Saccharomyces cerevisiae S288C: one gene and its partners. The gene in region 2 interacts genetically with the main gene of each other region. Each region holds a gene or a part of one and is shown on either strand. Other genes may lie near its edges.

Region 1 (7,560 bases), on a different chromosome or scaffold from region 2:
TTGCAATGTTCACTATATAGATGAAAACTTATATCTAGGTTTCACGACACGAGAATAACTAAGAAGCACGATCCATGATATAGAAAAATCAGTTACGACGAAGCACGGCAAATTAGCCGCCGAAGACCGATATTTTTGCCACCGGTCACAGTTTTCTTTTCCACGGAGCTCTTCGCGGTTTTTTTGTTCCGGATTTTTTTTACCGGCTCTTAGCGGACCGTTTTGGTTATAAGGGGAGTGGCAGCGGCGGTAGACACTGCGCTCTATAAGAATACTTGCAAGGGTCTTGTCTATTGTATAATTCGCTAGTATTTGTTTTGCATTGTACTCTTAATACCCCAACCAAAAACAAAATAGTGAGAGTAATGGTGCGTTTTGTTTCAATTTTAAGTTTATTCGGCTGCGCGGCGACGCTTGTCACGGCCCATGATGACATGGACATGGACATGGATATGGACATGGATATGGACATGAATATCGATACGACAACGTCTCAATCCATAGATGTCTCATCCACGGCTTCAATCGTCCCCGTGCCACATGAACCAAAACATTTGCATGGCCTTCCTATACTGCAATCGCCCTCGCTTACCCCTGCGGAGAGATTGTACTGGGAAAACTACAACACCACAACCTACTTTACTACACAGGCTGGGAATAGGTCTGCCCTTCGCTACCACATTATTACGCTGCTCTTGGTTGCATTTGTGCTCTACCCTGTGTCCCTGGCGCTAAGCGCCGCCCGTTCTAGGTGGTACTTACCCCTGCTGTTTGTTAATCTATGCATTTGTATTTCGTCCGTAATGGCATTGTCCGTGTTCAAAAATACTTTCCCGGAAGAAGACTGGTATGCGCATAATATCTATGGCACCACTTCTGTGCTACTTCTCGTTTTTATGCTTGTTCACTTCTTCGCTGCGGTGCTTTCTGTCCCCGTCTCATTAGCATCGAAAAAGGAGTACCGTCCGGTTGACACCATCCCTCTGAATGATCTTGAATCTACGCCCGTCATGGTGAATAGTGCACGTGGCTCTCCAAGTCCTTCTTCCAACAGAGACACGTTGTTCTCGCTCTCTTCAGACACCACGACCGCCACGGCCACCAATAATAATAAACGGAGACGCGCTGAAGGCGAAGACGAGGGTGATAACACCTCCAACCACGACACTTTGCGCGACGAAGACTACGATAATGATGACGACGAAATTGCTTCCATTGAAGCGCCACCTCTGCTTCCTCAAGACATACCCGTTTTCCGAATCTTGTTTACCAACACGAAGTACCAGATGCTTGCCGCGCACCTCTCGTGCGTCGCCAACGTGGTCTTTCACATGCTTACCTACCCGCTATTCATGTACATCTTTGTAGACCTAATCATCGGCTTCGCTGTAGGTAACTTGCTCGGCAAGGGCATCCGCATCTTTAATCTCTTGGCCCACTGGATTAAGGGCGGCGTATTTTTTACTCTGGGCGTTGTCTCTTTAGCAAGATACTGCGGTTTCGCAGCTAAGTACGGCTGGGCATGGAACAACATCAGCTTCACCTCTCAACTCACACAAACGCGTTCCTCCAATCTTCTTTTCCGGTTTGCTCCTGCGGGGACTTTCACCATGGAATTCGTTGAATCCTTCCTCATTTTCTTTTACGGGTCCACCAACATCTTCTTGGAGCACCTGGCAGGAAACGGCGGCGCATGGACTGCCAAGGATTTACAGCATGTGTCGATCGCGTTTATGTTCATAGGAACCGGATTGTGTGGGCTACTCACGGAGTACAAGCTCAACCATTGGCGATTCGAGCATGCCCGCAAACGGCCACAGACCGATGTAGTTGCTGCCACACCGGGGTACTCTCCAAACCCGTTCCCCGCTTTCACCATATTTTGGACTGGGATTCTGATGTCCCAGCACGCACAGTCCTCGCAATTTTCTACTACCATTCACACGCAATGGGGATACTTGTTGTCCTATGGGTCCTTCTTCCGTCTGCTAACATTTTTGATTCTGTTTTTGGTGCCCAACACCAACAGTGCCGCATCCAAGCCTTTCACGGAGTTGATCACCTCGTTCTGTCTCCTCTGTGGTGGTCTGGTATTTATGGAGTCCACGGATCAGTCCATTGAAGCCATGGAATATAGGGGGTTTACCCCCATGTTCACTTTCAACCTCAGTGTTGGATTCGTTTCTTTGTTGATGGCTTGGGAAATGATTTTATTTATTTGGAAAGACTGGCTCATCAAAACCAGGAAAACCAGTCTTTAACCGCCATAATGGCTTTTCTTTTTTCTTTTTTTTTTCACCCCCCCCTCATCTTTGAGTGAGAAGCTTATATGCTTTACTTTTCCTCACCTACTTTTTAATTCTTAATTATTAGTTTATCCAGCATTCAGTCAATTCTGAATGCGTTATCGCTTCCTCAAAATTTATAAAAATGAATAAGCAAGATCTCATTGGAATTGAGTTCAATGACGATTATTGAGGGCCCATACCTGATAAAAGTGAATATATTATGTATAATGACTCTACTGGAGGTTCTCTCTGAGAATGTAAAATAATCCACAAAAGACATGAAAATTAGTTACTCTACATAATGTATAATAAGTTCTTCCTTCCTTTTTTCTTTTTTTAGTTTTTCTACTCACCATCCTACCTACGCCAAGCTGCTCTACTGTCTTGGATCTGTGAAAAAACGCCTAGAAACATGTATAAAACCTACCGCTTTAAACCATAATTTCAAATCGAAATGGCACTATGGCCGAGTGGTTAAGGCGAGAGACTCGAATGGAATAAAAAGTTCGGCTATCTCTTGGGCTCTGCCCGCGCTGGTTCAAATCCTGCTGGTGTCGTTTAATTTTTTTTAAATAACATCGTTGATTAAAACAATCCTATTCACTGCAGTCACAGACTTAGCACATTTACAACCAGTACAAGATCAATCACACGCGTTGTGGTAGGAACTTTGACGATGATACTGCGTTGGCTCTTGAACGCATAGTACATTTGTCGTTCACAACGGAAAGTGAAATACTGAAAAAAAAAGAAAAATTTTCTTAGGGACTCATCATCAATGTAAACACCTCTACAGCCGTCAAGACTAGCAAAGCTCACCTCACAAAACGACATGCCGCGCATAAAGACCAGAAGATCCAAGCCTGCACCTGACGGGTTCGAAAAAATCAAGCCAACCCTCACAGATTTCGAAATCCAACTCAGAGATGCCCAAAAGGACAAGTCGTCTAAGCTCGCAGCAAAGTCCAATGAGCAGCTCTGGGAGATAATGCAACTCCACCACCAGCGCTCTAGATACATATATACTCTGTACTACAAGAGAAAGGCCATCTCCAAAGACCTTTACGATTGGTTGATAAAGGAAAAGTATGCTGATAAATTGCTAATTGCCAAATGGCGCAAAACCGGGTATGAAAAACTGTGCTGTCTGCGCTGCATTCAAAAGAACGAAACTAACAACGGTAGCACTTGCATCTGCAGGGTGCCTCGTGCACAGTTAGAGGAAGAAGCACGCAAAAAGGGCACACAGGTGTCCTTCCATCAGTGCGTCCACTGCGGCTGCCGTGGATGTGCAAGCACAGACTAACGACTATATGCACGTTGCAGTATTGTTCTGGCCATGTAATTATCTCTCTCCCAACGTTTTAGAAGAGGTTTTCGTCTCCTTCGTCAAAGACGACCACTTTCCCATTTTGGTCATTGGAACGCGAAAAAACAAAACAGACGCGAGAACGCGACGCGAAAAAATATATTTTTCCGTTTTTTTTTTTTTTCGGAACAAAGATAACGCGTTAAAACCTGTGGATGTAATAAGGATCTGAAACACTGACTAAAACGCGTCCTCATTTAAAATCAAAAAATTACTTCTTCTCCTCCCTTACGGTGCCCTTTGATCCTTCTCAAACTTTAAATATATGTTGCATGATTAATTGAAAATCATATAGAGTATATCTTAACAGAGGTTCCAACGCTTTAAATCGTATTCTATTCTTTTCCCCCCTTTTATTATAGTTACATCTACTATTTGAGCTTCTTTTATTGACCGAAACTACCTCTTATTTCGAAGCAAAAAAAAAAAAAATCAACAAAAATTCCAACTTTTCAATGATGAATGAAGACATATCCATCATTGATGGCCATAATAGTTTTTTAACGGAAAAAAGCACCGTGCTATTAACCCAAGCCAAGAGAACACTAGAAGACGAAAAGGAAATGATTACTCCCCCGAGCTCAACTGTGAGAAAAACAATGAAGGAAGTAAATAAGAGGCCGTCGCATCCCCTCTCACCGGATCACTCGTCCCCAATTGCTCCATCTAAGGCCAAGCGCCAAAGATCGGACACATGCGCTCGGTCCAATGGTAACCTAACCTTGGAAGAAATTCTTCAATCTTTGGAAAGAAGAAGAATAAATGGTGAACTCGCCAAGAAACCTCCATATTCGTATGCAACTTTGATTTGCTTGGCCATTTTGCAATCTCAGGAGGGAAAGCTAACGCTATCCCAGATATATCATTGGATCCACGTTCACTTCCCTTATTACAAGCAGAAAGATGCTAGTTGGCAAAATTCAATAAGACATAACTTGTCTTTAAATGATGCGTTCATCAAGACTGAAAAGTCCTGCGATGGTAAGGGTCATTTCTGGGAGGTCAGACCGGGTGCCGAAACAAAATTTTTCAAAGGTGAAAATCGTGGTTATGAATTTGTAAAGGACTCCTTACAAGACATTGGGAAGTATTTTGAAATAGATTCTACACTTGATGAATTAGAACAAGTTGAGAGTGGAGAAGGCAATGATGATCTTCCTGACGAGGAAGAAAGAGAGGAAGCAGGGAAATTCCCTTCCATTGAAATTCAATTGAACTCCTCCCCTATACTGAGAGTTTCCCAGTTACATCACATACCGCAATTGAAAACAGACAACAGTGTACTGAACCCTCACGAAAACCTAGAATCGATGCGGAACATGATAGAAAACGATGTCAACAATATAGATTCCTTGGAACCTCCTTATGTCATGAAGAAATATCATACTTCTTTAGGCTTACCGTCGCTGGTGAATGCCAAAGATCATTTCCAGGCGGGTGTGAAAAACAATAATATCACCCAGGCAAATAGATTTAATACACTCCCTATAACTAGCGCAAAGTCTCCTCAGAATTTCAGAAAATATTTCACCTCATTCAATTCAAATTTTGAAGATTTATCTCCACTTCGAAGTAATGTAGGGGCTGGTTCTCTACTCGACCCACTTCCGTATTCCCCATTGAAGCTGTACGATCAGAAAAATCTTGCGCTCATGTCGAAACCACAATCTCAGCAATCATATTCCAATTCTCAACTTCCACCTCCACCTTCCTCTCATGGTTCGGACTTACTTAAAACACCCAAGATGAGGCATTCCGATGGCTTAGAGAAAACCCCATCGCGGTTGATAAGCACACCTAAGGACGGTAACTCGATTTTGAGGAAATGGCAGACTCCTTCACACCTTTTTGAAGATTTGTACTGTTCTCCGCTATTTAGAGCTATAGAGACTCCAATCAGGTATATCACGACGCCGGGGGGCACTTTGGAAACCCAAATTTCACCAAGAAAGTCCTCTGCACCCGATGTCCTCACAAGCGCAACGAATTCCAAATTTGCTTCAAGCGGGCTGTTTGGCGTGGATGTTTATTCTGTTTGGAAGCGCGCAACTGAAAAGATTTCTGATGGTAACAATACTACGGATAGCAATCAAAAACATCATCCTTATCATAATCACCCTTCCAACGATAGCGGTAATGAAAAGAATTGACTTTTTTTTTTTTTTTTTTTCATTTTCTTTTCCTCACCGAAAACTAATTATTCTTAATCTGATGGATTCATCGCAAACGGTTGGATGAGTCCTAAACTGGGCTGGAGTTATCATATCACATAGCATTTTCTTTTTAATCTTATTGTATTGTCGGGTCAACTAACTTCTTTTCCCGCTCTTCTATGGTATAATCAATTGCAGAAGAGGCAGGAAAAAATTGTAATCATAACAAAAATGATACAAATTTTTTTTCTAAGTTTTATATTTTACATATCTTTATTTTTGATCCTTACGGATTTTTAATACAGTATTTAGCTGAAGTTTCCATTCACTTCACTTACCTTTTTGATCTCTTTTATTTTTACTTGCCCCGTTGCCTTGCATTTTTCAATAGAAAGTGAAAAACTAAGTACCACTTGAGCAATGCCACATTAGAAGAAAAACCATCCGCAAGTGAGCATCACAGCTACTAAGAAAAGGCCATTTTTACTACTCATGGACCACCAAATAACCACTGCAAGCGACTTCACGACTACTTCAATACCGAGCCTGTACCAATTGGATACACTTTTGAGATGTCACATTTGTAAAGATTTTCTAAAAGTCCCCGTCTTAACACCTTGTGGCCATACATTTTGTTCCCTTTGTATTAGAACACATTTGAATAACCAACCAAATTGTCCTCTCTGCCTTTTCGAGTTCAGAGAGTCCTTGCTGAGAAGTGAGTTCCTGGTCAGTGAAATAATTCAAAGTTATACATCCCTACGATCTTCCTTACTAGATGCACTAAGGATACCGAAGCCTACCCCTGTCCCTGAGAATGAGGAAGTACCAGGTCCTGAAAATTCTTCATGGATAGAACTCATATCAGAGTCTGAAAGTGACAGTGTAAATGCCGCTGATGATGACTTGCAAATTGTTGCAACAAGTGAAAGAAAACTTGCCAAAAGATCCATGACTGATATATTACCACTGAGTTCCAAACCATCCAAAAGGAATTTTGCAATGTTCAGAAGTGAACGTATCAAGAAAAAATCAAAGCCAAATGAACAAATGGCCCAGTGCCCCATATGTCAACAATTTTATCCTCTTAAAGCCCTTGAAAAAACACATTTGGATGAATGCCTAACTTTACAATCACTAGGCAAAAAACCAAAAATTTCTACCACTTTCCCTACAGAGTCAAATCCACATAACAAAAGTTCATCCAGATTCAAGGTACGAACTCCAGAAGTCGACAAAAGCTCATGTGGTGAGACCTCACATGTGGATAAGTATTTAAACTCAATGATGAGTGCAGAACACCAAAGATTGCCGAAGATCAATTTTACGTCTATGACTCAATCCCAAATAAAACAAAAACTGTCATCGTTGGGACTGTCAACTAATGGTACTAGGCAAAACATGATTAAAAGATACAATCACTACGAAATGCTTTGGAATTCTAATTTTTGTGATTCTCTAGAACCTGTTGATGAAGCTGAACTAAAAAGACAGTTGTTAAGCTGGGATGTTTCACACAATAAAACCCCCCAAAATAGTAGCAACAAGGGTGGAATTTCTAAATTAATGATAATGAAGAGTAATGGGAAATCTTCTTCATATAGGAAATTACTTGAAAATTTCAAAAACGATAAATTTAATAGGAAAGGATGGATGGTTATGTTTCGGAAGGATTTTGCTAGGCTTATCAGGGAAGCAAAAATGAAAATAAAAACAGGTTCATCGGACAGTTCAGGTTCAGTGGGACATT
Region 2 (6,476 bases):
TTTGTGACGGTGAACTTGATGAGATTTCAAGTAAGCCTTGTGATTTTCAGCGTCCTTGCTCAATTTCTCCTTAAGCATGTCTGACTTTACTCTGTTTTCCTCTCTCAATGTCTCCAATTCCTTGTTAAGGTTGGACTTGGAATCTTTGATTTCCAAGTCGGACAATGCATCGGCAGCAGCTTTGGAAGGGGTCTCTTTAGGCATGGTAATTGGACAAATAAATACGTGTATTAAGTTTGGATTCTTTGGTAGATAGCCAATCGAGGGAACAATTAAAAAAAAGAAAGAAATAAAAGACAAGAAGAAGAGCGAAAAAGGGGAAAGTGATGAGGAAAAGAACAATAGATAGATCCAGAAGATGATGGTAACGCGCAAACACTACCGCTATATATACCTACAAAACTCTCATTCTCTCATTTCCTGCTTCGTTCATTTCGAGTTTCCAAGGGTATGGTACGGTGCTATCTGCCCGTGCTTCCCCTCCTTTGCTTTGCTAAGAAAAATTTTCTTTTGTCAGCAGCAACAACACGCTACGCTCTGCGCTGTGCTACGAAGTGGTCTCTGTGGCAACGGGGACATTGTACCCATGCCCGCTCGCAGGGAGGTCTGGGTGTGGGGCGTGTGCGACCTCGTTGCCATGGCGATCGCGCGTGGGTGTGGTCTTTCCCCAAACGGTTGCCCGTTGCTCCGGATTTCGCATAGTTGTCGCGTAAACAAAAAACACGAGAGAGGGCGGACGGCGCTGAATAGTGGAAGATCGCGCGATGTCAAGTAAATAAGCTTGTATTTGTATTTGTATGTGTTTATGTGTTTGTGTGGTTGAGAATTTTATTTTCCTCCTAGTTTTTTCTTTTTTGAGTGCGGAGGGGCAGTGCTCTAAACTTTGCCTGCTTCTTGTTCGACTTCGGCTTCCTATGCAGAACGCAAAATCGCGTGCGCGAGGAACGAGGAAGACAACGCTTTAGATTGGCTTTTTCGTCGCCCATGCCCGTTGCGATAGCGATATGATGAGAAATCGATAAAAGGTTGCACCAGTACACCGCACTTTCTGGCGTGCTTGGATCTGGCTTGCGCGGCCTCGTGCCAGTAAGTAGAAAAGTAGTAATATGGCATGGCGAAAGAGAACAAAACAAGCAAAGCAAGCGTAATGCACAGCTGTGGCTAAAAAAAGAGCACAGAGGTGAAGGGAAAAAAAGATAAAGAAATTAAGGAGGTTGAGAGGGCTTGTGTGTCGATGCTTGGTGAGGCGGGACGTAACGGTTTTTTGTCTGTAGGCACTTCTACCCCACAGGGCCATGAATCTGGCCCGAAACCGTTGCGAGCGTGCCAATTGGTGGTGATATCTTTTTTCTTCCCTTTTTTTTTGTTTTCCGTTCTGTTATGTTCCTTCATCTTGAATTCACTAAAGGGAACAGAAGAAAAAGTTGGATATTAGATAAGCGGTACTTTTCTACAGGTCTAGTATTATTCCTCGGTTGGAACAAGAAATAGTGCTTCAGTAGCTCAGTAGGAAGAGCGTCAGTCTCATAATCTGAAGGTCGAGAGTTCGAACCTCCCCTGGAGCATATTTTTATACGTATATCTTTTTTCCCTCTATTTTGTTTTTTTTTTCTTTGTTTTTTCGTAGCTAGTAAAGAAGAGAAGGAGACCTAAAGTGTATATATACTTAATCTGCGATCATTGAAAAGTCGCTAGCTTATTGTCACTTACTGCATTTTCACAACATCTTCCATTTTTGTTTTCTCAGAAGGACAATGCTGGAAGGTACGGTAGATTATGACCCGCTGGAAGATATTACCAATATACTTTTTTCAAAAGAATCCCTGAACAACATAGATGAACTGATCAGTATTACCAGAAGCTACAAAAAGCAATTGCAAGAGGATATTCTCAAAGAAGAGAATGAATTGAAGGAACACCCTAAAAATTCCGCTGAAATAGAGGCTTCTCTGAGGAAAGTTTTCCAAGATTTCAAAGAAACTCAAGATGTCTCAGCCTCCACCGAGTTGACGATATCGAATCTGACAGAAGGTATCTCGTACCTGGACATTGCCAAGAAAAACCTCACCCACTCTTTGACTCTTTTCCAAAATTTAAAGATATTGACAGACAGTTACATACAATGCAATGAATTACTCTCACAGGGCTCATTCAAAAAAATGGTGTCCCCTTATAAGATAATGTGTTCGCTTGCTGAAAACACATTCATCTCTTACAAATCATTGGACGAGATAAACTATTTGTTGAGCTCCATTTCAAGACTGAAAGGAGACACTTTGTCCAAAATTAAACAAAACTACAATGCGCTCTTTTCCGGCGGCAATATCTCAGAGCATGATACAGCACTCACTATGGAATTGCGCGAAGGTGCCTGCGAGCTACTCGACTGCGATACAAGTACGAGAGCCCAGATGATAGATTGGTGTTTGGACAAACTTCTCTTCGAAATGAAAGAGATATTTAGGGTCGACGATGAAGCCGGATCCCTAGAAAATTTATCGAGAAGATACATTTACTTCAAAAAAATTCTTAATAACTTCAATTCAAAGTTCGCAGACTATTTCTTAAAAGACTGGGAAATGGCAGTCAGATTGACCACCACTTTTTATCACATTACACACAAGGACCTTCAGACACTTCTGAAAAGGGAATTCAAAGACAAGAACCCTTCCATTGATCTATTCATGACAGCATTACAATCGACGCTAGATTTCGAAAAATACATCGACGTACGATTTTCAAAAAAAATTAAGGAACCAAAACTAAGTTCCTGCTTCGAACCTTATTTGACTTTATGGGTGTCTCACCAAAACCAAATGATGGAAAAGAAATTTCTTTCTTATATGAGTGAGCCGAAGTACCCATCTAATGAAACAGAATCTCTCGTGTTACCCTCGAGTGCAGACCTTTTCAGGACATATCGTTCCGTACTGACTCAGACCTTAGAGCTCATTGATAATAATGCCAATGATAGCATATTGACTTCATTGGCAAATTTTTTCAGTAGATGGCTTCAAACTTACTCACAAAAAATTCTTCTTCCTTTACTGCTGCCCGACAATATTGAAGTCCAGGATAAGCTAGAAGCTGCCAAGTATACCGTTTTATTGATCAATACTGCAGATTATTGTGCCACGACTATAGATCAATTGGAGGATAAATTATCTGAATTCAGCGGTAATCGTGAAAAGCTGGCAAACAGTTTTACGAAAACGAAAAATATATACGACGATTTACTAGCAAAAGGAACTTCTTTTCTATTAAACCGTGTCATACCCTTAGATCTAAATTTTGTATGGAGAGAGTTTATCAACAATGATTGGTCAAATGCTGCGATAGAAGATTATAGCAGGTACATGGTAACCCTCAAATCCGTACTTAAAATGCCCGCATTAACAGATGCCTCTATTAAACAACAGCAAGAGCAACCTTCGACTTTGGCATTTATTTTGTCGCAATTCAATAGAGATGTTTATAAGTGGAATTTCTTGGATAAGGTGATTGATATCATCACTACAAATTTTGTAAGCAATACCATCCGCCTTCTGCAGCCCGTTCCACCCTTTTCCCTGGCGGGCAGCAAAAGGAAATTTGAAACCAGAACTGTTGTCAACATTGGCGAGCAGCTTCTCCTTGATTTAGAATTGCTGAAGGAGATTTTTCACACTTTACCAGAAAGTGTAAGTAACGATTCTGACTTGCGAGAAAATACCTCTTATAAGAGGGTGAAAAGACATGCAGACAATAATATAGACCAGCTGCTGAAGTTTATTAAACTTCTAATGGCTCCTCTGGATTCCGCTGATGACTATTACGAGACCTACTCCAAATTGACCAATAATAACCCTGATTCAGCGGTATGGTCTTTTGTCCTCGCTTTAAAGGGCATTCCATGGGACCTGGCATTATGGAAAAAGCTATGGAGTGCCTACAACTTAGAAACAGACGACACTGACGAGGGCAGCAGGCCAGACAGTAATCGCGATCTTTTCATATTCAAGTGGGACAAGGTACTTTTGGGTCAATTTGAAAACAACTTGGCAAGGATGCAAGATCCGAATTGGTCAAAATTTGTGAGGCAAGATCTGAAAATATCACCACCTGTTATGAAGAGGATAGTATCCACCCCTCAAATACAACAACAAAAAGAAGAACAAAAAAAGCAAAGTTTGAGTGTCAAAGACTTCGTTTCTCACTCAAGGTTCTTTAACAGAGGCACTTGAAAAAACGCATGAAGTGGTTTACAGAGGAAGTACGTAGTATAGTATAATATAGTTCATAAATCTATATTCTTTCTAAACATCGAAAACGAGATTTTTTTGGACTTCCGTCTTTTTTTTTTTTTTTGACTTGAATTCTATTAATATTTATAGCTGACCTGCGCACCAACTTTATGATCGTTGGTAGAGAATGTTTTGAATTGAACTACTTCACCATCAGGTATCTCTTTACTATTGGAGTCGGCCCATTCTAACGGAACTTTAGCATCCGCGTCTGTATATGCAAGTACTGTGAATGTGTACCCACCTTCTTTTGTTAGTTCGGGCAGAAAGGTAACGCTTGAGGTGATTTGCCTGATTAAAGCTCTGATTTGTGATTGTGTTGTATTTAAATCTACAACATCATCCTGCCCGTTGCTATTGCCAGAAATGTGTTGCACATTGAAGGACCATCTTTCCACCACCTCTCCCTCATCCTTGTCTACAATACATAATACTAATTGATTGCATTTTCCACCAAGAAGCCACCTGTGAACTTGTAGAAGAATTTTCCGAATGTAATCTTTCAGTTCATCATCATGTGTCTTTAGTAACGTAAGATCGTACTTTTTCACCGTTACGAAATCTTCTGCTGGGTATACGCCTCTTTGGTACAAAATGGAATTAATGCTGTACTCGAAAAATTCTGTAACTGTCCTTGTTGAACCCTTTAGTGATATTGATTGTGACATTAAATGTGCTATTGGGCCCCTTTGAAGTGGTTTTCAATACTCTTGTACGAGTATTTAACATCAATCATTCTTCGGGGCGATTTCTATTCTTGAAATGTTAAATCATAAACCATACGTAAACATTTGAAAAAAATTAAAGGCAAAAAAGAAAAAAACCACATTTTTGAGCCACATATACCTAGTATACTGAATTTATACTATAAAGCAGTAGGTCAGCAATGGTATGTGCACTTCAAATGTTCGTTACATTATGAATTCTTTTTTTTACTGACTACCAAGCAATTTTTTATATTTGCCACATTAAACAGCATGGCATTAAAAGGAAACAGTGGACCAAGGAATTACTGAGACAAAAGAGAGTTCAAGACGAAAAGAAAATATATGATTATAGAAGCTTGACTGAAAATGTTTTGAATATGAGAGATGAAAAAATTTACTCAATTGAAGCTCTGAAGAAAACATCAGAACTTCTTGAGAAAAATCCGGAATTTAATGCTATTTGGAATTACAGAAGGGATATTATAGCGAGTTTGGCTTCTGAGTTGGAAATACCTTTCTGGGATAAAGAGTTAGTTTTTGTAATGATGCTATTGAAGGATTACCCCAAAGTCTATTGGATATGGAATCACAGACTTTGGGTCTTGAAACATTATCCTACGAGTTCCCCTAAAGTGTGGCAAACTGAACTTGCTGTCGTGAATAAGTTATTGGAACAAGATGCAAGAAATTACCACGGATGGCATTACCGCAGAATAGTTGTTGGTAACATAGAGAGTATCACTAATAAAAGTCTTGACAAGGAGGAGTTTGAATACACAACAATAAAGATTAACAATAACATTTCAAATTATTCTGCATGGCACCAAAGAGTACAGATCATAAGCAGAATGTTTCAGAAAGGAGAGGTTGGGAATCAAAAGGAGTATATTCGGACTGAAATATCTTATATCATCAACGCTATGTTTACCGACGCCGAAGACCAATCCGTATGGTTTTATATCAAGTGGTTCATTAAAAACGACATTGTTTGTAAAACTCTGGACGAACAAGAGTACCTTAAAATGTTGAAAGACTTGAGAGAAAACATTCTGTTAATAAATAATGACGAAATTGAATTTTCCGGGAAGCAAAATATTTGGTGCTTGAAAATTTTATTAGTTCTCGAAGATATTCTGGAAGAAAAGGAAGCTCTAACGGAAAGAAGCTCGGAACAATATTTGGTCCAATTAATAGATGCGGATCCGTTAAGAAAGAATAGATACCTACATCTCCTGGAGCAGCATAAGTGATGATATACATATATAAACATATATATATATGTATATATGATGGAAGCCTGTTCACTATAAGCGGGATTTCATTTGACACCTTCAATGCACGAAAGTATATGCATATTTTTCTTTTATTGTAATATTACCGATGATTTGAACAAAGAAATAAGTATATTAGTGTAGAGAATAGATGTATACAAGTTCTAAATACTATAGGTTAGACTATGCAGGAGGGTTTAACCCTGGATTAATTT
Region 3 (6,848 bases), on a different chromosome or scaffold from region 2:
AAAACCTTTTCGTACCACGGGTAAAAATTTTGCATCGTGATGATACCAAGAAGTAGTAAAAGCTCATGGCTTCTTATATATTATATATGGAATACATTTATAATAAAATAATAAGAATTATATATTTTATGATTATATTATTACATAAAGTATTCCCCATTATAAATTCTGAGTTTCGTATTTAATGATTTTTCAATGAATATTTAAAATAATAAAATATATGAAATGTTCATATACAATGAAATTGTCATGAAGAAAGATGACTCCAAGTATCGTTTATAAATCGTCGAGAAAAAGATTATGAAGTTGGTTAACTTTTTAAAAAAGCTGCGCAATGAGCAGGTTACCATAGAACTAAAAAACGGTACCACCGTTTGGGGTACACTGCAGTCGGTATCACCACAAATGAATGCTATCTTAACTGACGTGAAGTTGACCCTACCACAACCCCGACTAAATAAATTGAACAGTAATGGTATTGCGATGGCTAGTCTGTACTTGACTGGAGGACAGCAACCTACTGCAAGTGACAACATAGCAAGTTTGCAATACATAAACATTAGAGGCAATACCATAAGACAGATAATCTTACCTGATTCCTTGAACCTGGATTCACTTTTGGTTGACCAAAAGCAACTTAATTCCCTAAGAAGATCGGGTCAAATTGCAAATGACCCCAGCAAAAAGAGAAGGCGCGATTTTGGTGCACCAGCGAATAAAAGGCCAAGAAGAGGTCTATGATTCGCTGCTGGTGTCGTTGTCATCTTCACTGTCACCATTACTTTCGCTTTCGCTAGAACTACTCTCTTCATCAGAGTTGTATATTTTATTCCATTGACATTTCCCTAATGGAATACCCCAGATATGGTCCTGTGTGGCCAACCAATCGACTAATTCATCAATGTGTATTATACAAAGTTCTTCGTTATAGGAGTGAGCAAAGCAGTCTACTTGTAGTGGGAAACTTTTTAGTTTGAAATAATGCTGTGAATATTTGTATAATTGTACTTTAAATAACTTTATCAAATCATTTTCATCATCATCGTTTTTGTTATTGCCATTCAAATAATAATACTGTAACCGCGCATAAACCAGAAGCAAAGCAATAATATATTTCGAGTCAAAACCGTTCTCATTTTTTACATTCAATAAGAAGTTCAACTGCTGGAAATTCGGTCTGATTTCGATTAACTTCATTAAGATGCATTTAAACTCAATGCCACCGAGAACCATCATGTGTAAATGACCATTTTGACCTTTTATGGTACCAAATGCGCCAATCATAACTTTCAAAAGCTCTACCATTGTATTGCCTCTCAAAGATTCGTTGCTTAGATTTACTTTATAGTACATTGAATTATGAATTTTATCTCTTGTCAACCGAGGAATAACAAGTGACACTGACTGGTTATTCAGTTGTTTTGGAGAGATGTTAGACTCCACTTGAAATTCATTGACAGCCATTGTAGTCCTTGTTCTTTACCCACGTTTTGTTTTTGTTCTTGCGTTTTTACTGCCACTGAAAATATAGCGTTGTAATGGCTTTAGATTTTACTTTTTTTTATCATAATTCTTGTTCAGAACGTTCGTTATTGATATCACAAAATTATTTACATGATTAGACATTAAAAACATAAAACAGTACACATAGGGTTTACTATTCTAAACTATAGTTATCTTCTCTCTTATTCTTCAGAACCAGCCTATACTTTGGTTTTTTTTCATTTTTTCTACTCTCTTGGCATACTTCGAACCCTTCTTGGAAGCAATCAACTCATCTACCTTCTTTAAAGCTTCTTCACGTTTTTTTAGCTTTTCGTTTAATTTCAATTCATGCTTATGACCCTTGGGCAAGAGAACACCTTTCATGAGGGTCTTTTTATTGTATTTCTCCTCGAAGAAAAGTTTCTTAGTGTTTTCGATCGGTGGTAAAAACTCTTCTACTCCATAACGCAGTGCCAACTTATATACGTCACTCATTCTTCTAAGTGAATATTTCGGATCATGAAATCGTTGTGTGACCGGATGTTTATTTGGCAGGAAAGGATTGGCATTAATGGCTTTAGTAGATGTAGACACTGGAGAATACTTGATTGAAGGGGGGTATCTTTGGAAAAAGGACTTCAATTTCAAAGGCAAACTATCAAAATACTGTTTGTATGACATGGAGTTTAGTTTAATGCACTAGTTGGTTTTCCTATTCTGTATAAATGGTTCACTTTATTTCGTATTTCACTTGCTCTTCCACTTTCACTTGTATCCCAGTCATTTTTTTTTTTTGTTTGAGAAAAAAGGAATATAAAAAGGCGCTACTATAAAGTACTTAATGATACTATAATTTAGAAGATTGACTTGATAAGACCGTTGTGTACCACCAGTCGATGGCTAGGGAGGATTCTAGACTCGAAACCATTTCCCACAATTGTTGAAGTAGCTTTTTGTTATGTGTATTGATTAGCTGGAGACAGATGTTCAACCAGCCGATCAAATGATGAGGATTGTTGATAAAGGCTATTTGTACAATCAGACATTCAATCAATACATTCTTCTTTTCTGGGTTTTTTACATTAACAATTCTGATATACGTCTCGTGCAAAGAGTCCCTAAGCAAATGCTTGTTATAATTATGTAGTGAGGGAAGTTGTGTGGATAGATGGCCGAATATAAGTAAAATTTGATTTGCGGACAATTTACCTGCAATAAATTGGTCCATCGACATCTTTAAATAGACGAGTATGCGGGATACTTGCCATTGTGCAACCTGTGAGGAATAAGAGGAGTCTATAGACAGTACAGTGATTGTCAATGTGTGTATAGATTCTTTGATTTCAATATCCAAGGTATTGCCCGTCTTCCCGCTAAAAAATACATCGAAATGCAGTAAAGGTTCGATAAACTCAGTAATAAACGGCAAACGAATGCGACACCCATAGTAATTAGTAATTTTGTTTAGAAAATTGATGTAAAACACTAATTTATTTGGATCTTGTTTGGTGTTGTTTCTTTTCATTAGTTCCAAAACTGTAGTGATTTTAGACAAGTCATCCATGACAATGAAATACGTTACTAAATTATCGTAAACATAATCGTAACTGGGAAAACCGACTGTCCCGATTTTTTGAGTCAATACGTGGACGTGGAAAAGGCTTAAACAGATCATAGAATAAAAAGTGTCTTTATGGTTAGGCAGTATTGTCATATTCATGGCGGATAATTCTTTTAACGCGAGGATTATCAGGATAAATACATTTTGGAACTTGAAATCTAGTTGTTGTTCTTTCAACGAAGCCACAGTATCGGACAAGTATCGACATATCCTTTCTAGTTTGCGTACTGAATTTACCAAAGTTGCCTCATTTGACCTCGTGATTGAACTGGTCAAGCAACTGGCCAAATGATTCAAGTTGGTTGATAAGACTGAATCAGTCGAAAAAATTTCCATCGGCTGCACAATGCCGTGTACATACTCTTCCAAAAGGTCCAATAGTTTCTCTGTGACCAAATTCCATGATACGTCAACTCCATGCAAAAGGGCGCTTCGGTTTGACTGATTAAAAAGTAAAGCTAATGCTATCAGAAGGCAATGCTGAATCGATAAATTAGCCCTGACAATGGCAGTATTCCATAGCTGCGCCCATATTGGTGAAAACAGTTGTAATTTCCAGTTTCTGTAATAAAGCGCAGTTTTGTTGCTGGATTCATCAATAAAATAGGCGTTGTTCAATTGTTTGAAGCTCGGGTATGTGACTAGTACACCATCCAAAACCATCAACTGTGAAAGGTTCCACGTGGCTCGGTGAGATTCGAAAACAGCATTCCAAACCAAGTAAAACTTCGAAATTGGGAGCGTGGGCTCAGAAACTTCCAGTTTCCAAAGGAAAACATCTTTGACGATGTGCAAAAGGCGTAGTGGTGGTAATTGGACAATGAACTGCGATCGGAAAAGTGCTCCGACCAAGCGATACAAAGTGTCGGGGGATTTGACTCTTGGGACGTAGTATACCACATTGGCCGCGATTTCGTCTAGCAGGCGTTGATCATACTGGATCCTCGTTTCGGAAGAGAGTGCAGTGATCAGATATTCGACGTCATGATCAAACATAATGTCCTAATGCCCTCTGTAAGTGCGGTTTTGCGCGCATACATGCGTATTCATATTTCCCTTTTGCATTTGTCTTCTTCGGTTTTCCTGGTAGAATTTCCCTTAATGGGAGAGTAGTAACAATGCAAAAAATGAAGAAAATTGAGAAAAAACAAAAAAGAAAAAAAAAAAAAAAAAAAAAAAGAGAGCTATGTAGGTTGATTGTGTTGTTCTATGTAGTGCCCTTTATTTTTCTTTGGATTTAAATTTACAGACACATTATATCTTGAGGTTTTTAGTCCCTTCTTGAGCCTGCTTCAAGTCTTGCCTTCTCTGAACGTCCCAGTTATACAATCGCGCGCAATTGACCTCCATTGTCGTGATATTTTCCCTCAAAAACTCTACGTCCTCGGTGGACACCGTTAAAGACTGTTCGGAATCCGCGAGTTTCTTCTTTAACAACTCTATGGCCTCGTCGATGGGATATTCCAGCATCACGTCTGCGCCAAGCCACAACCCAACTTTCAAATCCGCCCGATCTTCCGGTATATCAACCTGAGCCTTTGTGTAGAGCGTGTCGTTCAATTGGTAGTGCAACAGGATAGGTTCATCGCTCTCATCGCCCTCGTCGCTGTGATTGCGCAGACTTTGGCATATTTTTAATGTGTTTTCCAAGTCCGGGATTCTAGTCTTCAGCTGCTTTATCGTAGCCAATTTAGATTCCTGCATAAATTTGTACTTAGAAAGCCGTTCTTGGAACTTATTGAAGCACAATTCGAAGTCGCTTGGGTCCTTAATTATTTCGTTGACATTTTCGATGAATGGAGCCTGCGGTATGCCTCTGGCATTCTTTTCCGTGGAGTTGAACAGTGTGTCCATAATAACCGTAGTATCTGTTATATATGTGCGTACAGTTTTCTGCAGTAAATGTTGTCTACAATTTATAGCCTCTACAATAGTGTTAAACTAGATTTTTTCACTTTCTTTTCTGACCAGTTCTGCAAAATGATCGAAGAAACGAAACAAATCATGTGTTACCCGTCCTGCACAATCATGAGTGCCTGCGGTTTCCATATTGGAACGGCACCTTCCTTTTTTGGAAGTCACGTTCCTGCAGCGCGTTTCTTTTTTTTTTTTTTTTTTTTTTTTATTTTTCGGTTTTTTTCGCACGTTTCTTTTTGGTGAGCGAGAAAGCTCGTTGCCTCCTAATATAAAGGATGAGATGAGATGAGCAGTGCCGCAAATGAGGGATGTGTTTATTTGTTCATTGTCGTTTTGCGATTATCTTCGTTTTCATGTGTTAACTCATTCATTCATTCATTTACTCGTTCACGCACACGCAGCAGTTATTCCCTCGACGAGCGTTCACTTGTATCATATAGCATAGTTTACGTAGCAATGAATAAAAGCAGCAAGGCATTTCAGGTACCGAATAAGGTCATCACCAAGGAGGATATTACTCCCTTGTCCAGATCGCACACAAAGAAAGCGGACACTCGCGGGACAGCAGATGGTAAAAACACCACAGCCAGTGCAGTCGAGGCCACCCCAATCATCATCACCACTGCTCGTTCGATAGATACTGCCGGTTCACTATCTGAGAACGCCACCGAGGACGATGGCACCCAAAACGGAGATTTACACGATGATGACGATGATGACGACCTCGAAAGTACGCTCGGCTATAGTTCTGAGCCTGATCCTCTCTTCTCCCCATGCCACCAGCCTTCCTTCACCAACAGCACATTTAGTTACAGTGCGGACAATGAACTACCCATGGAGGAAAATCACAACAAGAATAATTTCCACGATAGCAGCGAGAGCAGTATCTTTCTACCACAGATACAGCAATCATTCTTTTTCGGCGACAATAGCAAGAGTGACGCAAATAATACGGACTTCTGGAAGGAAGTAAATGGCACTGCAGAAGAGGCCATTTGCCTGCAGGAGACAAGACAAAGAAAATGCTCCCTCGTGGCTCTGCATCCAGGCGACGCCACCACGAGTTCGAACGACACATTGGGAATAGAGGACTTCATCAAAGATGATATCAACAGTGCTGAAGCCATGGAACCCTCCCCATCTTCATCACCATCTTCCTCCCTTCTTGATAATTTGGACTACAATATCAAGTTATTGTGCTACAGAGACAATGAGGGCAAGTTCACCTTGAAAAAAAGGAAGTTTTTGAAGAATTCCCTGCGCTCATCCTCTGCAATTTCTAAAAAGTGGAAACCCTTGTCTAAAAGAGATAAGCTGTTGAAGAGGGCCATAAGAAGAAAGAGTGGTGTTTGCCAGACGTTATCAGCTGGTTTTGGTATCGGTGAATTCATGTTGTAATAACAGTACTATTAACAGTACAATAAATAGATTCTTTTTATACAGTGTTAGGGTAACTTGTTTTTGTAGGATTTGAAAAATATGTCATTATAAGATCTATATCTTTTACTATTTGGACAAGTTGGCTAATTTGATAGGCAATTGAATAAGAAGGAACTCTGTATCTCAACACATCACATGTCTACTCAATCCGGTATAGTCGCAGAACAAGCCTTGCTGCATTCTCTGAATGAAAATCTTTCAGCAGATGGCATCGTCATCATTATAGCCAAAATTTCCCCTGATTCTACCTCGGTACATCAAACGCAAGTCGCACGTAGCTTCGAGGAGCTGGTACAGTTGGCATCACAAGAAAGAGAACCGTTGTACATCTTCTATAAGCCGGAAGGGCTTGATAAGTACTTCTTTGTGTCATTCATCCCCGATG
Region 4 (9,376 bases), on a different chromosome or scaffold from region 2:
CTTTTATTTTTATAATATTTCTTTCCTTACCAGGGCTTGGAGTCTCTACAACAGTTAGCTTACTGTTTATTCTGCCACATTTCCACCCTTTTGTGGGGCTTCTATTTCAAGGACCTTCATTATGGAAACAGGGCGAGGTTGTTTGTTCTTCCTGCATGTTGCGCGCAGTGCGTAAGAAAGCGGGACGTAAGCAGTTTAGCCATTCTAAAAGGGGCATTATCAGAATAAGAAGGCCCTATGAGGTATGATTGTAAAGCAAGTGGTGTAAAATTGTGTGCTACCTACCGTATTAGTAGGAACAATTATGCAAGAGGGGTCCTGTGCAAATAAAAAATATATATCTAGAAAAAGAGTAGGTAGGTCCTTCACAATATTGACTGATAGCGATCTCCTCACTATTTTTCACTTATATGCAGTATATTTGTCTGCTTATCTTTCATTAAGTGGAATCATTTGTAGTTTATTCCTACTTTATGGGTATTTTCCAATCATAAAGCATACCGTGGTAATTTAGCCGGGGAAAAGAAGAATGATGGCGGCTAAATTTCGGCGGCTATTTCATTCATTCAAGTATAAAAGGGAGAGGTTTGACTAATTTTTTACTTGAGCTCCTTCTGGAGTGCTCTTGTACGTTTCAAATTTTATTAAGGACCAAATATACAACAGAAAGAAGAAGAGCGGAATGAGACCGTTGTATAGCTGCAACCTTGCAACCAAAGATGATATTGAGATGGCAGGTGGCGTAGCTCCTGCTCACCTGGAAGTTAATGTAGGCGGCTATAATACAGAGCAGACAATACCTATAGTAAAGCATCAGCTCGTGAAAGTTGGGAGAAATGATAAGGAATGTCAACTCGTTCTAACGAATCCCTCTATCTCCTCTGTTCATTGCGTGTTTTGGTGTGTCTTTTTTGATGAGGATAGTATTCCAATGTTCTACGTTAAAGATTGTTCTCTTAATGGAACGTATTTGAACGGTTTGCTTTTGAAAAGGGACAAAACGTATCTTTTAAAACATTGCGACGTTATTGAATTATCGCAGGGAAGTGAAGAAAATGACATTAAAAAAACACGACTAGTTTTTATGATTAATGATGATTTACAATCTTCTCTGGACCCAAAACTTTTAGATCAAATGGGTTTTCTGAGGGAAGTAGACCAATGGGAAATAACAAATAGAATAGTGGGTAATGGCACTTTCGGTCATGTTCTGATCACGCATAACTCAAAAGAACGTGATGAAGATGTCTGTTATCACCCTGAAAATTATGCTGTGAAGATCATTAAACTAAAACCAAATAAATTCGATAAAGAGGCTCGAATCCTTTTGAGACTGGATCACCCAAATATTATCAAAGTCTACCATACTTTCTGTGACAGGAACAATCACCTTTACATATTCCAGGATCTTATCCCTGGTGGTGATTTGTTTTCTTACCTAGCTAAAGGCGACTGTCTAACTTCCATGTCAGAAACTGAATCGCTATTGATCGTCTTTCAAATTTTGCAAGCTTTAAACTACCTTCATGATCAAGACATTGTTCACCGCGATTTGAAACTAGACAATATTTTGTTATGTACGCCAGAACCGTGCACTAGAATCGTCTTGGCAGACTTTGGTATAGCTAAAGATTTAAATTCCAACAAAGAAAGAATGCATACTGTCGTAGGCACTCCGGAATACTGCGCTCCAGAAGTTGGATTCAGAGCAAACAGAAAAGCATATCAAAGCTTCTCAAGAGCAGCTACGTTAGAGCAACGAGGTTATGACAGTAAATGTGATCTTTGGTCTTTGGGTGTCATTACACACATTATGTTAACAGGGATCTCGCCTTTTTATGGAGATGGTTCTGAGAGGAGTATTATTCAAAATGCAAAAATTGGGAAGCTGAATTTCAAACTGAAGCAGTGGGATATTGTTTCAGATAATGCCAAGAGTTTTGTCAAAGACCTTTTGCAAACTGACGTAGTTAAACGATTAAATAGTAAGCAAGGTCTCAAACATATTTGGATTGCAAAACACTTAAGTCAATTAGAGAGATTATATTACAAAAAGATATTGTGCAATAACGAAGGCCCTAAACTAGAAAGTATAAATTCAGACTGGAAAAGGAAGTTACCCAAAAGTGTTATCATTTCTCAGGCAATACCGAAAAAGAAGAAGGTTTTGGAGTAATCATAGGATTATCTCTTCCTCTTTCAAACTGCGCGTAGTTCAAAATAAAAAGGTATCTGTGTAAAAAAAAAAAAGTAAGTCAATTGTATGATTTTTAAGTAAAAGTTGCCCTTTTCTACTAGAAACGGCGAGAAAAAATGATAGTAGTGTGCCAAGAAGAATATGAAGTTACTTTTTAAAAGATATTCGTCTAGTCATATTGGTAAGCTGATTAAGGACTCTTTAATCACTCCTGAAATACTACCACAGCTAGGGCGACAGCCATCATCGCATAAACGTTTACCAAATAACAAAAGAACTAACTCAATAACTGATAAATGGTTGAAGGATGCGCTAACAAGAAAAGATAAACTGAATGAAGATAAGCTCCAAAATGTAAATTTACGATTAAATGTGGTACTGACTACTCTACAGAAGCTTCGTACATCCGATAATCCTGCTTTGTATTTTGCGTTGTTGAATCGTATTGGCACAGGTCACATAAAATGGCTAAATAAAAGTGGCCGACAGATTGATGCATTCCCACCTGATCGGCTGCCTTTGGAATTTTATCATGAGCTATCTAATATGCTCTATAAACTATCGCTTCGGTCCGCAAATGACAAAATTGCACTAGCTAAATTTTCATTGCAATTATTGGATCGCTATTATTTTCTTAAAACCAAATCTTTAACTATAGAAGGAAAATTTCGGGCAAACATAAAATTTTTGAGGAATTGTACTCTTTTAATTGTTAAATCCCAATCGAACTACTACTTAAGGGCAATACAGCGGTTGTTCGCGGAAAATTCGGAGGGTCAATTATTAGCCAATTTATCCCAGCTGGCATTTTATGTGGAGACCTCCCAATGGACAAGTATGTTGGATATTTTATCCTCATGTGTACCGGATTCTGGTTTAAGAGGTTCGAAGGAGCGTGAAAGAGCTATTCAATTGTTGGAGTTATTTAGTCCATGCCTAGTCAAAAGTCTAAAAGTAATGATAGCACAAAATATGGAGAATGAAGCTTGTCAGATTTTAAGGAGCTTGTCTGAATGGAACTTTCATTTTGATCAGCATGATTCCTCCAACTTGATACAATTATCCCAGAACCATTCTTGCCTCAAAGTTATTGAAACCATGAATGGATTATCATCAACTACCGCTGTCACTAGGCAATTCGGACTTGAAAAATTACCAACTGACGTGAGTTTGAAGCAGAGCATACATATTTTATCAAAAGATAATTTCGAACCTCTCAAGCAAGATTCATTTCTTCAATTTCTATCGTTTAAATTAAGTGATTTGCCTCTGAACTTAGAAGTATGGAAAAAGCACATTAAGGAGGTTGATGACCAAATGCAGGCTGAGTCCAACCTGCATTCCTTAAGAGCTTTTTTTATTGATATGCTACTGTGTCACTTATCTGTGCGCAAGGATTTCGATTTTATGCTTTCATTGGTCGAGCACATAGTATACGAAAAAAATTTATGGCAGCCATTATTACTCACAGATAATATAGTTGGAAACAAAGAAAATTCCACTTTTCATTGCCTCTTTCATGGCGCCTCTCAAGATATTTCTACCAAACTTACTCTACTGGCATTGTATAACCAGTTGAATGAAATCGGCTATCAATTTACCTCCCACGATTTTCTCTCGATGTTGAAAGTCTGCAAAAACTACTCTGATTCTGATTTTTTCTATTTTGCTTTCTATAATTTGTTGGTTACACAAAGTCACAAATTTTTTCTTTTCGATAAGTTTAGTGATAAGTTTTCGTGGAGGTTGCCAATACAAATCGGAGATGCAATTTCTGAATGGCTATCCAGCTTAGAAATTGATATACAAGAAAACACCGATAGAGTTTTGCAGATAACAGATGACGTCGGCGAATGGTATGTTGAGAATAAACCATTTAAGTCAGAAAAAGGGACCATTCAACCAATAAACATAATGGAATTGCGCAAAATTTTTGGGGAGCGAAAAACTCTATTTCATATGGATTCAGAAATTTTCCAAAAATCTAAAGCAAAAAGAGATAAAGAAATGCGGAATGAAGCTTTATTTACCGCAAATGATGCGGAATATAATTTTGCTGCGGATGTATCCTATGCAAAGAGAGTAGAAAATCTATTTTCTTACATAAGATCTAAGCAAATGCAACAAAAATAATGATTATATGTAAAATTTGCCGTTTACATTCTATAAAGTGATATCAGACTCTAATATATTCGCCAATTCATGTTTCTGGCAGGCCACTTGTAGAGCTTGGAGTTGCCTGGTGACACCTAATTCCAAAAATATCTGGAACATACCTTGTAAAGCGACATTTTGATCAGTCATAAATTTTGATTTTGTTGCGGCGTATTCACGTTTCACAAGAACCAACAACCTTTTCAGTATTATGTTGGATAGATTCTTCTGGTCAGCATTTTCTCTCATTGTGTGGTAACAAGATATTGCCAAGAACGGGAAGAATTTGATCACGCTTACTCTCAATGTCGTACAATCTAATAAATGTAGGTTATAGAACTTGGCGAAAACACCCTGAAAATTAAAATTTGGATGTAGAACAACCAACCCAGATTCCATGATTCTAGTCCAAAATTTTACACAATGAATGGTGAATTTGATGGTGTCAAATCTCATACCTCCTGTTAATGGATCCTTGTTACGATCGCGTATTCTTGATTCAGCGATTTGTTTAGCGCTTGGAATTATTCTGATTAAATCGTGGCATAATTCCAGCTGTTGTGAAGGAGACAAAGATCTGTAGTATACGATAAATGAATCTATTGATGAAGTAAGCTGAGAATCTGTAAAATGTATTGCTCCAGCGCTCACTGCATATCCTTTCCAGAATTCTTCACTTAAACCTTGCTTGTGACGGAAATTGAGTATCGAAGAGTCAGATAACACAGTGATTTGTGATGTGGCCGAAGCAAGTAATTGATAACTTAGTTTTCTGATCTCTGGTACAGGTTCCGCCAGCAATCTCGTTAATTTTGGATTGATGGAGTCGCAATCACCAGATAAGAAATCGGGATGGGATTGCATAAGTTTTAAAGCCTGTATTCTTACCAGACGTCCTACATCACCCTGTTGAGTTATTGTATAATCATCGAGACAGTTGATAATGATGTTGCGAAATTTTCGATACGAATTCGACGGGAGTAAGCTTATTCTAACATCCCAATGATGATCAAGTTCGCCTATCAAAAGCGATCTGGATTGAGGTGACAATAGGGGGAACTGGGAGAAGAAAAGGGAACACATCTTTTCTTGATCGGGCATATGACATATTGATCGGCAAGTCAGTTCGTTATCTGATTTAATTAATTGAACAATCCTTGTGTAGTTTAGGCTAACGCATTGAGATATTATTTGCTGTATTATAGGGATGAATTCGTTGTACAGATTTAACTTCTTTTGTGGGGATACTATGTCTACAAATTTCCAAAACAATTCCTGATTGAAATCATTTTGTCCTGTTAATTGCCAGTATTTCAAAATGACAAAAATTTGAAACAGTTCGGGCGAATTATCGTTAAATTGTCTTTTCGCTTGAGTAGTTAATTGGAATTTTATCTTTTTCTGGTAAATGTCGATACAAATCTCGCTTATTTTCGGGCAATTTACGTCATTTTCGAATAGTTTCAAGTACAAGTACAAAATTTGACAATTTTGTGTAACTGAGCTGCCAGCCTTGTTTAATACCTCTTGCAATAAAGCGGGTGAAGATAATTTCGACTTGATTAATGGAACTAGGTTATAATCTATGTTGAGTTTCATTGTGGTCAAATGTAAATTCTCTAGTAAATTCCAATTGAAGGACCAATCGCGGAATACCTTCCATACGCAAACAGCACTTTTGGAGGTGTTTTCGGGGTTGAACAGCCTACGAATTAGACCAGAGTTCTCCTCGAAAGACCTCGGTAGATCCTTCCAATTTGCTTGCAATATCAAAGCAATGTCATTTTGATTTAGCGCAAGAGATTTGTTGGACCTGCCCAATAATTCTTGGAGCGCGGCAAAACTCGAGTATCTGATTATTAATTCGGGGTCAAAAAAGGCGTTTATTAACAGATGAGAAAGTAGTGATTGTAGAACCTGCGGCGATAAACTATTGCTACGGTTTGACCTTATTACTGACCAGATAATGAAGTTTGTCGAGTCCCTGATATGGTGGCCCTTGATGATTTGAAAGTGAGATTTCTGAAAATGACATGTTTTAGGGATGATCAGAGTCAATACGCGGTCGACTAGATCTATAGGCAGAATTTTGGCCAGAGCCACCTCGGCGATGATCAGAAGGGAAGTGTGCAGCTCATTGCTATCGATAGAATCGCAAGGAGCCTGTAATAGGGAAACCGTATTTTCGATGGTATAATCAATGAGCTCGATAAAAGATGCTGGATCTGCCTGGTGCAGGAACTTGGCAATTTTAGCGAAGGAGTGTGCCAATTGGAATCTTGTGTCTGTGGAATTCGAACTTAAATGGTCATGGAAGAATTCTACTATAGCATCTAGGATATCATGAGAGCCATGATTGAACGAAATCTGGAATAATTTTGGCAGCAGCTTTATTCCGTCATTGGACAGTGCAACTTGTTGTAAGTGTCTTAGATTTTCATTGGAGAAGTAGTAGTTTGCCTTTTCCGAAGACTGAATAAACAGCTTTAAAAATTGGTTGAGAAACGGCACATTTGCCTGTTCCCGTTCCGGTAGCTGGTCAAAGGCATCTGTGAAGTTTTTGAAATATAAAACGGCTTTGATCTTGTTAATTGGAGGTATGCAAATGGGGTAGTTCTCGAACCTGGAAGATACTTGAAGCGTTTTGTTGAATTTATCTTTGAATGCGTAAGGTGAAAGCAGAATGACGCTTAGCCAAGAAAGGTTTAGATAGACGCACAAGACATCGCTGAAAGAAGAGGGCGAGGCTCGATCTTGTAAATAGTTTAAAATTTCGTTTAATCTAAAAATACTTGTATCTAATGATTTAAGGACTTTTGAGTGGGAGATCTTGTCAAGATTGTAGAAAAGCTCCGCAACAAGTTTCTGATCACGCTGTGACATACAAAAGAACGACTTGGTCAAAAGAGGCACGCATCTCGGTAGTATGGTGTCTAGAAGTGCAGGATCATCTTGAAATTTGTTGATCGCGGCAATCGTCTGTTGGTGCTTTTCTGGAGAAACGGTCTGAACTCCAGATTGTATCGAGTCCAGCAAGGCCCGAATATTGTTCATGATTGAAGGGTGTAAAGTGCGTGTGGTGGCGTTCTTTCCAAAAATATTATCGTCTTTCCTTTTTTTTTCTTTTTTTTTTTTTCAATAGTAATAGTATTTCCTAGTGATCTCGGCGATTTTCCTTGATTTCTCCAAAAGCGTTTTTACCCGGACGATATGAATCCATCTATTAAACATCATAACATCATATTATTTTTTTCTGTGCTTCTAAAACGGAGATCAAATACCGGGCCCGCGCGCGATGGCCGGATGTCCGTCCATACTGCAATGTGAATTCCCGCGCGGTTCAAATCTTGTCACAAGTTTGTCAAAATTGCTTGTCATGTCTGCCAAATCTCCAGGGTCCTAAATCTGAGGTAGCACGGCACGGCACAAGATGGTACCCATGGTGCGTGACGACAGCCGCTACTTGCACGGCTTTGTTCCGGCAGCCCGGGTACCCGCGCTGCGAGTTGAAACATCATCAAACCAAAAGGGAAGCGACGTTAGTTTTTTTCATTGCGCTAGCTATGACGTTTGGGTGGCCTAGCCGGTTCGCGTGTGCCTGTCGCTTTTGTCGCTTTTCAACTTCTGCCCGATATTTCCTATCAAAGGAAAATGGGACGTTTTCAACCCCTCGCTATCATCGTGCCTGCACTCTGCCTATCGCCAACTACACCGGGGTTTTATCTGCTTCACCCCTCCATCCAGTGCTGATAACAAGAAGAACCTTGCAGGGTAGGGCAGGACCTACGGCCAAAATACTAATTATGTCTGTTTATGTACATGCCCCAATCTGAATATTCCATGAATGTAGGCACAGCATATCTCCATCCATGTACTGATACAGACGCATAAACATATATGTATATACATACTTATACACTCGAATATTTGTAGACTGATGTACTTCTATATATATATAGGGGGTTTGTGTTCCTCTTCCTTTCCTTTTTTTTTCTCTCTTCCCTTCCAGTTTCTTTTATTCTTTGCTGTTTCGAAGAATCACACCATCAATGAATAAATCATGGTAAATATACTGCCCTTCCACAAGAACAATAGACACAGCGCGGGAGTCGTCACCTGCGCGGACGATGTTAGCGGCGACGGTAGCGGCGGCGACACCAAGAAGGAGGAGGATGTTGTCCAGGTAACGGAATCACCATCGTCCGGGTCGCGCAATAATCATCGCAGCGACAATGAAAAAGATGACGCCATCCGTATGGAGAAAATATCTAAGAACCAGTCCGCGTCGTCCAACGGCACCATCCGCGAGGATTTGATTATGGACGTGGACTTGGAGAAATCGCCCTCCGTCGATGGCGATAGCGAGCCGCACAAACTAAAACAAGGTTTGCAGTCGCGCCATGTGCAACTGATCGCGCTGGGCGGCGCCATCGGTACCGGTTTGCTGGTGGGGACTTCATCCACGCTTCATACGTGCGGTCCCGCGGGGCTGTTCATATCGTACATTATTATTTCCGCGGTGATCTACCCGATCATGTGCGCGCTGGGCGAAATGGTGTGCTTTTTGCCCGGTGATGGTTCTGACAGTGCCGGGTCGACGGCCAATCTGGTCACTAGGTACGTTGACCCTTCGTTGGGCTTCGCCACTGGGTGGAATTACTTCTACTGCTACGTCATTTTAGTGGCCGCCGAGTGTACGGCGGCATCCGGTGTGGTCGAATACTGGACCACCGCGGTTCCCAAGGGCGTTTGGATCACGATCTTTCTATGCGTGGTTGTTATACTAAACTTTTCCGCGGTCAAAGTGTACGGCGAATCCGAGTTTTGGTTCGCGTCTATCAAGATATTATGCATTGTGGGACTGATCATTCTGTCCTTTATTTTGTTTTGGGGTGGTGGCCCCAACCATGACCGTCTTGGCTTCAGATACTGGCAACATCCGGGCGCTTTTGCGCATCACCTCACGGGCGGATCGCTGGGTAACTTCACAGATATCTACACTGGGATTATCAAGGGCGCCTTCGC

The links.
Region 1: mutations in MAD2 (region 2) and HCM1 together harm fitness more than expected from each alone (negative genetic interaction), as found in Saccharomyces cerevisiae (8 studies listed by BioGRID, with this or other methods).
Region 3: mutations in MAD2 (region 2) and PAC10 are lethal when combined (synthetic lethality), as found in Saccharomyces cerevisiae (5 studies listed by BioGRID, with this or other methods).
Region 4: mutations in MAD2 (region 2) and CIN1 together harm fitness more than expected from each alone (negative genetic interaction), as found in Saccharomyces cerevisiae (8 studies listed by BioGRID, with this or other methods).

The regions. Positions count from the first base shown.
Region 1 is NC_001135.5:225,198-232,757, forward strand, and holds HCM1 (Hcm1p), read left to right. Parts: upstream 1-4,112; coding exon 4,113-5,807; downstream 5,808-7,560. Other genes in the region: TVS1 (Tvs1p), read left to right, coding at 366-2,261; U2 snRNP complex subunit BUD31, read left to right, coding at 3,121-3,594; E3 ubiquitin-protein ligase RAD18, read left to right, coding at 6,303-7,560. UniProt on the Saccharomyces cerevisiae protein: Transcription factor regulating the cell cycle specific transcription of a spindle pole body (SPB) calmodulin binding protein SPC110. Required for full induction of SPC110 transcription in late G1. Binds to DNA consensus sequence 5'-[AT]AA[TC]AAACAA[AT]-3'.
Region 2 is NC_001142.9:386,132-392,607, reverse strand, and holds MAD2 (spindle checkpoint protein MAD2), read right to left. Parts: upstream 4,952-6,476; coding exon 4,361-4,951; downstream 1-4,360. Other genes in the region: ribonucleotide-diphosphate reductase subunit RNR2, read right to left, coding at 1-204; YJL027C (uncharacterized protein), read left to right, coding at 359-775; YJL028W (uncharacterized protein), read right to left, coding at 962-1,297; VPS53 (Vps53p), read left to right, coding at 1,755-4,223; Rab geranylgeranyltransferase BET4, read left to right, coding at 5,170-5,172, 5,260-6,240; RNA-dependent ATPase HCA4, read right to left, coding at 6,459-6,476. UniProt on the Saccharomyces cerevisiae protein: Central component of the spindle assembly checkpoint which is a feedback control that prevents cells with incompletely assembled spindles from leaving mitosis. Thought to be recruited to unattached kinetochores by MAD1.
Region 3 is NC_001139.9:635,412-642,259, forward strand, and holds PAC10 (tubulin-binding prefolding complex subunit PAC10), read right to left. Parts: upstream 4,961-6,848; coding exon 4,361-4,960; downstream 1-4,360. Other genes in the region: UPF3 (Upf3p), read left to right, coding at 1-56; mRNA splicing protein SMD1, read left to right, coding at 301-741; U4/U6-U5 snRNP complex subunit PRP38, read right to left, coding at 736-1,464; mitochondrial 54S ribosomal protein mL59 MRPL25, read right to left, coding at 1,693-2,166; PEX8 (Pex8p), read right to left, coding at 2,333-4,102; YGR079W (uncharacterized protein), read left to right, coding at 5,309-6,421; twinfilin TWF1, read left to right, coding at 6,599-6,848. UniProt on the Saccharomyces cerevisiae protein: Binds specifically to cytosolic chaperonin (c-CPN) and transfers target proteins to it. Binds to nascent polypeptide chain and promotes folding in an environment in which there are many competing pathways for nonnative proteins.
Region 4 is NC_001147.6:987,818-997,193, reverse strand, and holds CIN1 (Cin1p), read right to left. Parts: upstream 7,406-9,376; coding exon 4,361-7,405; downstream 1-4,360. Other genes in the region: serine/threonine protein kinase MEK1, read left to right, coding at 683-2,176; MNE1 (Mne1p), read left to right, coding at 2,339-4,330; proline permease PUT4, read left to right, coding at 8,412-9,376.